Linked DNA regions of Coturnix japonica. The protein of the gene in region 1 purifies or fractionates together with the protein of each later gene. This does not show direct contact. Links are inferred from orthologs where the notes say so. Each region holds a gene or a part of one and is shown in the gene's direction. Other genes may lie near its edges. The genes, in order: histone RNA hairpin-binding protein and MIF4GD.

Evidence for each region.
Region 2: the proteins of histone RNA hairpin-binding protein (region 1) and MIF4GD purify together in Homo sapiens (affinity purification with western blotting; 3 studies listed by BioGRID and IntAct, with this or other methods). This does not show direct contact. The link is inferred for Coturnix japonica from reciprocal best matches to the Homo sapiens genes SLBP and MIF4GD.

The regions. Positions count from the first base shown.
Region 1 is NC_029519.1:76,093,574-76,097,903, forward strand, and holds the start of histone RNA hairpin-binding protein, read left to right. Parts: upstream 1-1,442; 5' UTR 1,443-1,741; coding exon 1,742-1,785; intron 1,786-1,914; coding exon 1,915-2,046; intron 2,047-2,827; coding exon 2,828-2,932; intron 2,933-3,438; coding exon 3,439-3,498; intron 3,499-3,753; coding exon 3,754-3,885; intron 3,886-4,330. UniProt on the Homo sapiens protein: RNA-binding protein involved in the histone pre-mRNA processing.
Region 2 is NC_029533.1:9,386,597-9,390,908, reverse strand, and holds the start of MIF4GD (MIF4G domain-containing protein), read left to right. Parts: upstream 1-1,328; 5' UTR 1,329-1,430; intron 1,431-1,680; exon of another isoform or gene 1,681-1,792; intron 1,793-2,609; 5' UTR 2,610-2,664; coding exon 2,665-2,746; intron 2,747-3,469; coding exon 3,470-3,579; intron 3,580-3,846; coding exon 3,847-4,002; intron 4,003-4,312. UniProt on the Homo sapiens protein: Functions in replication-dependent translation of histone mRNAs which differ from other eukaryotic mRNAs in that they do not end with a poly-A tail but a stem-loop. May participate in circularizing those mRNAs specifically enhancing their translation.

The DNA.
Region 1 (4,330 bases):
GCATTAAGCTGCTAACGTGGAAACTACTTCCAGTCCCTTCCAAAGCATCACTTCAAGTTGTTGCTTAGATTTTTTTTCAAGTGAGTTTTGTAGAACTTCTGTGCTACTTGGAGGTTTTCAGATACGCTTCACACTTGTCCAAGGCATCAAGAAAACTTGACTGTATACAGCATTACTGCAGTGAACTGGAGCATTACCTTGCCTTCACCAAAGCCTGTCAAGCGTATAGAAGTTTACTACAGTGGTTATGTATAGCAAGTTTGCTAGTTCCCAATGAAGAAAAGACTCAATATGTAGGGGAACATGTGCTGCTGCTTTAATAGGAGTGTATTAGGATTGGTGGCAGCTGCTGCTCAGTACTAAGAATGTCCTCCTGGCTGTGTGCTTGCCCAGACATAGGAAGAGGGTGAGGCCTGTGGTACTTACAAGTCAAATAGGTCAAGCTCCCACCATTGAGGGCTGAATGGAGGCTGCCTGCAGGTTGGTGAGGCTTGTTCTATTTCCTGCAGCAGCTGGGACTCATCTATATATGCTTATGTATAAGGTTCAGTGGAGTCCCAGTGCAAAGTAGCTCAGTCACATACCACAGCATGGCATGTGTATACAGGGAACAAATCTATACAGCACCTTCTGAAGCACTATTTAAGAGCACTGCTGATCCAGTCTGCATGCTTCCGTGTGTTTTATGATGATTATAAATACGAGAGTGGTTTTTGGTTTTGGTATATTGTCTTTGTGCAGAGGAATTAAAGTCTTTAACCTTTCAAAATGCTTCTTGGTCTGCTTGTTAATGCTTTGTTATAAAAGAATCACAGAATGACCCGGGTTGGAAGGGACCTCAAGGATCATGTAGTTCCAACCCCCCTGCCTGGCAGGGCCACCAAACATACACCTTTACTAGATCAGGTTGCCCAGGGCCCGTCCAACCTGGCCTTGAACACCTCCAAGGACGGGCATCCACAACCTCCCTGGGCAGCCTGTTCCAGGGCCTAAACCACTCTCCTAGTGAAGAACTTCCCCCTAAACATCCAACCTAAATCTTCCCTCTTTTAACTTAAAACCATTTCCCCGTGTCTGCTATTTTCAGCCCTTTCCAAGAGTTTACTCCCCTCCTGGAGTAAGTTCCCTTCAGGTATTGAAAGGCTTGCAATGAGGTCACCCCGCAACCTTCTCTTTCCAGGCTTGAACAAACCCAGCTCCCTCAGCCTGTCCCCATAGTTAAGCACTACGTGGGTCTGGTTGTCTTTCTATTTACTTCATGCTGTTTTGGGGTCGGTGGGTCCCTCAGCTCTGGCGCTGCCGTTGGTGGCTGCGGGCAGATGGAGCGCGCCAAAACGCTGAGCCGCGCTCCGATCTCCCGCCACAGCGGGGCCGGGCCGGGCCGAACCATCGCACTGGGCCGGGGGGGGGGGGGGATAAAGGGAGGAATTCGCGTCCCGTTGTCTCACGTGTCACGGTTCCGAGCGCGTCCCGAGGCGGATTGACCGGCCGTTACTCCGTGCTAAAGGAACGACTGGGCTGAAGAGTCTCCTCAGTGTCCGCTCTCCCCTCTCCTGTTTCTCTCCCCCCCCGCACCTGGCGCTGTGGTGCGGCCTGTCGGGGGCGGGGCCGGCCGGGCTGGCGGGAGATGCGAAGAGCCGGGCGGTGAGGCGGCAGTTCCGCACGGCATCCTCTGTCCGTCCGACCTTCCATCCGTCTGTCCGTCCTTCCATCCGTCTCTCCACCCTGAGGACCCCACACAATGTCCTTCCGCCACAGGAACCCCCACGACACGGCCAGGAGCAGGTAGGGCGGGCGGAGGGCTCGGAGCGCTGCCCCCGATCCCTGTGGGGCCGTGTTGCCCTCAGTGAGGGGCCGCCATGTTGCGCTCTGTGGGGCGGGCGGGTCGCTGAGGAAACGCTTCTCTTGTGGCAGCCCACAGCCGCCACCTCGATGGTCACAGGGAAGGAAACGAGGAGCGGACGGGAAGAGGAAGAAACAAAGCGATGGAGGCGAGGCGGTGTTCGGAGAGACGGAGCAAGGACCCTCGGACAGCAGGGCCGACAGGTGAGAGAAAGAGGCGGCGGTTGGAGGGACCCAGTTGTGCCTGGGGAGGTTCGGGTTGGAGCTCCGTGAGAGGAGGCTGTGAGAGGTGGCTCTGCTCCCAGGTAACAGCGGTTGGATGGGATTCCCTCCCGTCAAGGCCTCAGTTGATGGAGGCAGCAGCTCTGATGATTAGGAGGAGATATAAGAATCATAGAACGGCCTGGGTTGAAAAGGATCACAATAATCATCCAGTTCCAACCCCCTGCTGTGTGCAGGGTTACCAACCAGCAGACCAGGCTGCCCAGAGCCACATCCAACCTGACCTTGAATATCCCTTCCCAGTTTTGAATCTTTTGAACAGGCTATATTGAAGTTATTACTCCAATTATTATTAATGCTGACACTTCCATAGAATCACACAAGATCTTAACCATTGTGAGTTCTGTACCTGAAAGCATCAAACTGGCAAGTTGCAGATAGTGGGGAAAGGGTAAAATACAATAGAAGAACTTCACAGAATCACAGAATGAGGCCAGGTGGAAGGGACCTCAAGGCATCATGTAGTTCCAACCCCCCTGCCTGGCAGGCCACCAAACATACACCTCTTTACTAGATCAGGCTGCCCAGGGCCCGTCCAACCTGGTCTTGAACACTCCAAGGATGGGCATCCACAACCTCCCTGGGCAGCCTGTTCCAGGCCTACCACTCTCCTAGTGAAGAAACTTCCCCAACATCCAACCTAAATCTTCCCTTTTTCAACTTAAAACCATTTCCCCTAAACTTATTGTTTTATTCCTTTCAGTTTTACAACACCAGAAGGCCCTGGTCCCCTTTCCCGGTGTTTAGACTGGGCAACTGCAGTGGAAGAAGATGAGATGAGAACCAACGTTAACAAAGAAATTGCAAGGTACCCGTGGGGGCTTGAGATGAAGTGGGGAATGGAGGGGAAGTGGCTTCGCTATCCAGTCAGACTCAGATTGTGACTCAGTCTTAGTCTATGATAAAGACTGGAGTTCAGTCTTAGCCTTGGAGTTCTGCTTTTCAGACCAGCTTAACTCCTGCAGGAGTAACGTAGCACACTGGGGGCACGTATGTCTCTAAATCTCTCCCTTTTGGAAGAAACATATCCACATTCATTTCAATGTCCCTTCTTATTATTTACTGTTTTTCAGTATCTTCTCTGTTTAAAGATCTTTTTATAGTAGATTCAGGAAGAGGAAGTCCTTGGATGTGTTGTGTTCTTTAGTTCTTAGGGGAAAAGTGAAGCGTCTGCTTCACAGTGGAAAGTATTTACAGTGTATAGGTGGATTTCTTTAAGTCTGTTGCCTTGAGTTAAAACTCACTGAGCTGTCACAGTGCAGCCAAATCTGTTCTCTCTGTGTATGTTCTTAATATCGACTTGAACTCTTGCAGATACAGAAGAAAACTCCTGGTAAATGAGTTTTCAAGAGAAAGGAAGTCCTCTTCAGGAAGGTAAGTTTCTAGCTTAGCTGAAGAAAATCCTTGCAATGGATTGGATTTGACTTTTCAAACATGGTGTTGCTTTTGAGAAGCCCCAAGTTGAAGTAGTACATTTTAGCTCTCCCCCACATTTAAATTCATTCACATCTCAAGCATCCATTTGAAAACACTTCACGTGTTTCTTTTGACTCTTATATATCTGAGTTTGCTTTTTGGGTATCGCTCATTTTCTATTGCTCCCGAATTTATAACATTCTGTCCTTACAGTTCCGATTCAAAGGAATCCACTGTAACAGTAGAACTTGAGACGGATGAGGTGGTTTTGATGAGAAGACAAAAACAGATAAACTATGGGAAAAACACAATTGCCTATGACAGATACATCAAAGAAGTTCCTAGGTAAGATGCTTGAGCTTCTGGAAAACTAAATGTTCAAATGTAGGTCCCAACTTGTTCTTTCTAAGCACACGAACACACTAAACACACTGAAATAAAAGGCATTTACAAATTAAATCAGTTAAATGAAACAAGCTCTGAAATGGGTCTTGGATTTCTACGTTTCACAGCTACTCTGTGCATGAGCAGTTCCCCTTCAAGCTTTTTCATGCTGCAGAAATGAAAGTTCTTTTGGTTGTGCTGATCGACTTGAAGAACCGAAAGTGCTTTTTTTTTTTGCAGTCAGTTTTCTTGTTGGTAAAGTAAAAGGCAAAATAGAGTGTGGTCGTTCTGAAGTCTGGAACATATATTTGGAATATAGGAAACTGCACGCTTAAGTTTTTAGATCTAAGATTATCTCTTTTTTCCCCACTTGACCCAAAGAAAGAAAAACTAAGTGTTCATATGT
Region 2 (4,312 bases), on another chromosome or scaffold:
TTGCCCTGGATCACAGTTGGGTTCTAGTGCTGCCTCACCAGCACGATGCTGCTGCTTGATGCTGCATTTGCACTTTATTTTCTTTCTTACGGCCTGCAGTTCACAGCCTGTTCTTTTCTCTCTTGCGCAGGCAGCTCCGCTCCATGGCAGGGTGGTGAAAGTAGGTGATCATTACGGTCCGATTCTGTGATTGCACAAATCACGCCGTGGTAATGGGGGTCCACCAAACCTGCCTGAGACGGGAGAACCCGCACACACAAATTCTGTGATGAATGCGCTGTTTCCAATAGCACTGATTGTGTGTTTGAGTTCCTAGATGGCATTATAGATATATAGATAGATGCTCATCCAGAGCTGCATCTTTAAAATGGATGTTTGACAGTTAGCTCTGAAGTTGACTTTTTAATTTGCATTTAAGCTGTTACTGTGATGCAGAACAGTGATTCCATCTGTTGTCTGGGTGGGTCTTTTGCAGCTGCTGTAATCTGAGCATCTGAGTGCAAAGTGCTTGAAAGCGCGTGGCCGCCTTGATAAAGACGGAGCATTAAATACGTTGTTGTGATCGTGTCGCTGCAGCTTCTCGTTCCTCCTTCACTCCTGTGTGCGCACAGTGGATCCTGCGGGACTGGAGCTGCTTCCTGGAGCCATCAGCAGCTCGAGCCGCACCACGCGCTGCGCTGTGTATCCCTGGGAGCTGCACGGGACGGTCACGGCTCGTCCTGAGCCACAAACCCACGGGAAGGATCCCAGGCCTCGTGTTCAGCCCCGCGATGCTGCAGACAACGTGACGAGCTGCTCGTGCTGCGTTTCCTGCGGCTCGTATTTGCAGCGTTCTGCCCGTGCTGCTCCTCGTAAAAGCTGCAGCAGCTCCAAGCGGGAGAAAAAACGTGAAGTGCGAGTTACGCTGCGTTCAGTGCGAGCTCCTGAGGAGCACGAGGTGTTTGAAGCTCCTGTTCCATGAACTTCCCTGCTACTTTCTACACCCGGCAGGAAGCAGCGCTACAGCCGGGACTTGGATCCGCTCCGTTATAGCCGGGACTTGGATCCGCTCCGTTATAGCCGGGACTTGGATCCGCTCCGCTGTAGCTCAGCCTGACGAGATCGGGGAATAATGGCGCCCCTCAGCCTCGTCCCGCCGACTCTCGTGGCGGAGCTCAGCGCAGCCGTCGCCCCGCGGCGGTTTGGGATGTTCGTGGTCCCGGCTCGGAGCGGTGCCGGTGCCGGTCCCGTCCCGTCCCGCCGTGGTGCTGCCGCAGGCGGCGCTGCAGCCGCTCTCGGCCCGGCCCCGCGCCGCCCTCCCCGCCCTTCCCCGCCTCGGTCGAGGAAATGACCTCAGAGGAAGCCGCTGCCGCTGTCGGTTCGGTCATGGCGCTGCGCTGCGCGCTCCGCCCGGCGCGGTGTCGGCTGGAGGAGCGGGGCCGGCCCGGCAGGTCGGTGCCCCGTCCCACAACCCCCCCCGCTCCCTGCGACCGCCCAGCCCCGATCTTCCCTCGGGGCCGCTGGGCCTGAGCCAGGGTTGGGAGTCCGGAGACCGGGAGGCGGCGGGACGAGGGGACCGGGTGGTGCCTGGTGCCCTCCCGGTGCCCGCAGGCGGCCGCGGGTGGACGCTCGGTGGTAGGAGAGGAGGTTCGCTGCTCCTCTGTCGTTCCCACCCGGCACGTGCCGGCCTGGCACATCGGGGCTGCGCTGGGTGACATCGCAGCGTGGGTTCGGTCCGATACTGGGAGACACGGTGCCACCAGGCGGGCAGAGCGAGCGGCAGATCGCAGTGCTGACCTGTGTGCACAGAGCAGTGAGTAACGGATGAGGAATTTCAGAGAGCTGGAAGAACTAGTTTGTTCAATTGCCGTCTCCCTGTTTTGCTGCAGGTCCAGCAGCCCCGCGTTCTGCAGCAGATTGTCCTGTGTCAGAGGAAGCCTGTCAGAGCCCTTCCTCCCTGCTGTGTGCACCCTCTTGCCATCTTTGCTGTGTCACAAACCAGCAAAAACATAATAATCTAGAGATTATTCAGCAGCACTGTACTGCAGAGCGCTGCAAAAGAGGAGATGGGAGCCTGGTGGAATCTGGCTGAACATTTTCCGGTGTTCTGCTGCGTTTTGGGGGTCGAATCCTCTGGTGCAGGAGAGGATTGGATTGTTTAGGTGTTGGTTCTGAATCTCCCCAGGTTTGTGTGAAATCATCTCAATTGCTGTTTCAAAGGCACAAGGGAGTGTCTGCATGGAGTGTCCTGCATTCGTACCTCCCCATGGTGCAGCCACAGGGAAGACTTTTGAGGGAGACAGTTACTTTTTGGGCTTGCTCTGGCGTGCTGTCCTGCTTAAACCTGCACATCAATAGACTGATTTTCACATCAGAAGAACGAAAGTGCTCTGAAGATGCCCAAAAGTTCCTTGTCGTAAACTAGTAGGAAGCAAGGCTTAAAAAAATGTGGGAATTGGTCTTTGCCCAAATGTAGGGCTCGAGCTGGATGCTGCATTAACAGGATATTTCTTACTACCTGGAGGGTGTCAAGGTTGAAGTCTGGGCTCCCGGACTGGATGGGATTTGCCACGTGGCTGGTGGAGGTCTGGGCTCTCTGGCCAACTAAGCCCTGTCTGCTCTTTTCACAGGGGCTGCTGCTAGCACATCTGTTCCCCTGGTTCTTGCTGTTGGAGGAAGCCAGTCATGGGGGAAACAGGCAAAGAAGAGTATAAAATACAGTCATTTGACACTGAGACTCAGAAGCTGCTGAAAACAGCACTCAAAGGTCAGCAGGCTTTTTCTGGCCTTTCTGCCGCACTCAGCTTGGCTCACTGATGTGGCTGAATACCTGTCCCCTCCTGCTGTCACCAATTGCTAAGTGTAGAAAAGCTGTTTCATAAATGCTGTTTCTACAAGACTGAATCCCTTCAGGAAGTTCTTTGTTCCCCGCCTCTTCTCCCCCACCTCCACCTCGCTGCTGAAAGGTGTAGCTGTTCCAATCCGGGTTCTCAGGACCATGCTCATCATAGTGCTTTTCTCTGATTGGGATGCCTTCTTCTCCTGTTCTCATCCAGCTGATCTCTCTTCAGATCTCGCCCCTCACTCTTCTCCCTGTGCTGTTTCTGCACCCCATCCCCCGGTGTCTCCTGCTTACAGGTGTCTCAGTTCAAAGCCCAATGGAAATTTGCTTGTCTGTCTGCTGCCAGCCCGACTTCAAAGCAGTGCTGGGACTTCAGATTCAGATCAATCTTGCCTCCCTTCATTGCCATGTTTTTCTCCATCACTTTTCCATCTGCGTGGCTGTAAGTCCAGCCTGGAAGGTCTGTGTGGTTCTTGGAGATGGTATCTCCGAAGCAGCTGGCGTGCAAAAGGGGCCGTGTGGGAGTGAGCATGAGTTTTGGTACCATATGACATGGTTTTACTGTGTTCCATACCAACCTTGGCTGCTTCCTAGCACAAGCAGGACACAAAAAATATTAGATCCTGACAGTGTTTCTTCTCTCTACAGACCCCAGCAATGTGGACCTGGACAAAGTGGCCAATGTTATAGTTGACCAGTCCCTCAAAGACTGTGTGTTCAGCAAGGAAGCAGGGCGCATCTGCTACACCATCATCCAGGTGAGAGAGATTTGTGTCTGCCAGGAAAACGCTGCTAAGCTGTGCTAGGCCGGGACTTCTTCTAGCCCTGCACTCCGACTCTTCCACTGGCCCCTGCACTGGCAGGACACAGATGTGCAGCTGGTGGGTGCAGATATCTGCAGCCTTTCTATGTCTCTGGGCATCACAGGAGGGTATCAGTATGGTCCTGCAACATCCAGATCCCAGTCCCCCCTGCCCCTCTCTGCCCCAGTTTCATCCTTCCATCCTGCTTTTGTGGGCTCTTAGGCAGAGAGCAAACAGGTCGGACAGAGCATCTTCCGGAGGAGCCTGCTGAACCGGCTGCAGCAGGAGTACAAGGACAGGGAGGATCTGCGCAACCGGTCACTGCAGGCATGGATATGCTACGTCACGTTCATCTGCAACATCTTTGACTACCTGAAGGTAAGGAACCAGAGCAGGAGCGTCTGGTGCTGCTGCTAAGGTACCAGAAGGGCCCAGGGTCAGGGTAGAAGCGCTGAATGTGTGTTATGACACCCCAGGGCCATGGCTCAGCAGTGGGAGCCAGCTCTCAGAGCGAGGATGCTCCCAGGTTATTGCTACATTTGAGCAGGTCATCAGCCTTGAAGAGGCAGAGTTGGCTTTGAGGCCAGTTGCTAAGTCTGAGCTACTGTTTTGTACTTGGAGTTTGAAATCCTGATGTAACCTGTGGCAAGGGAAGATTTAAAATAGCTGAAGGCTTTTCCCCTTCTGC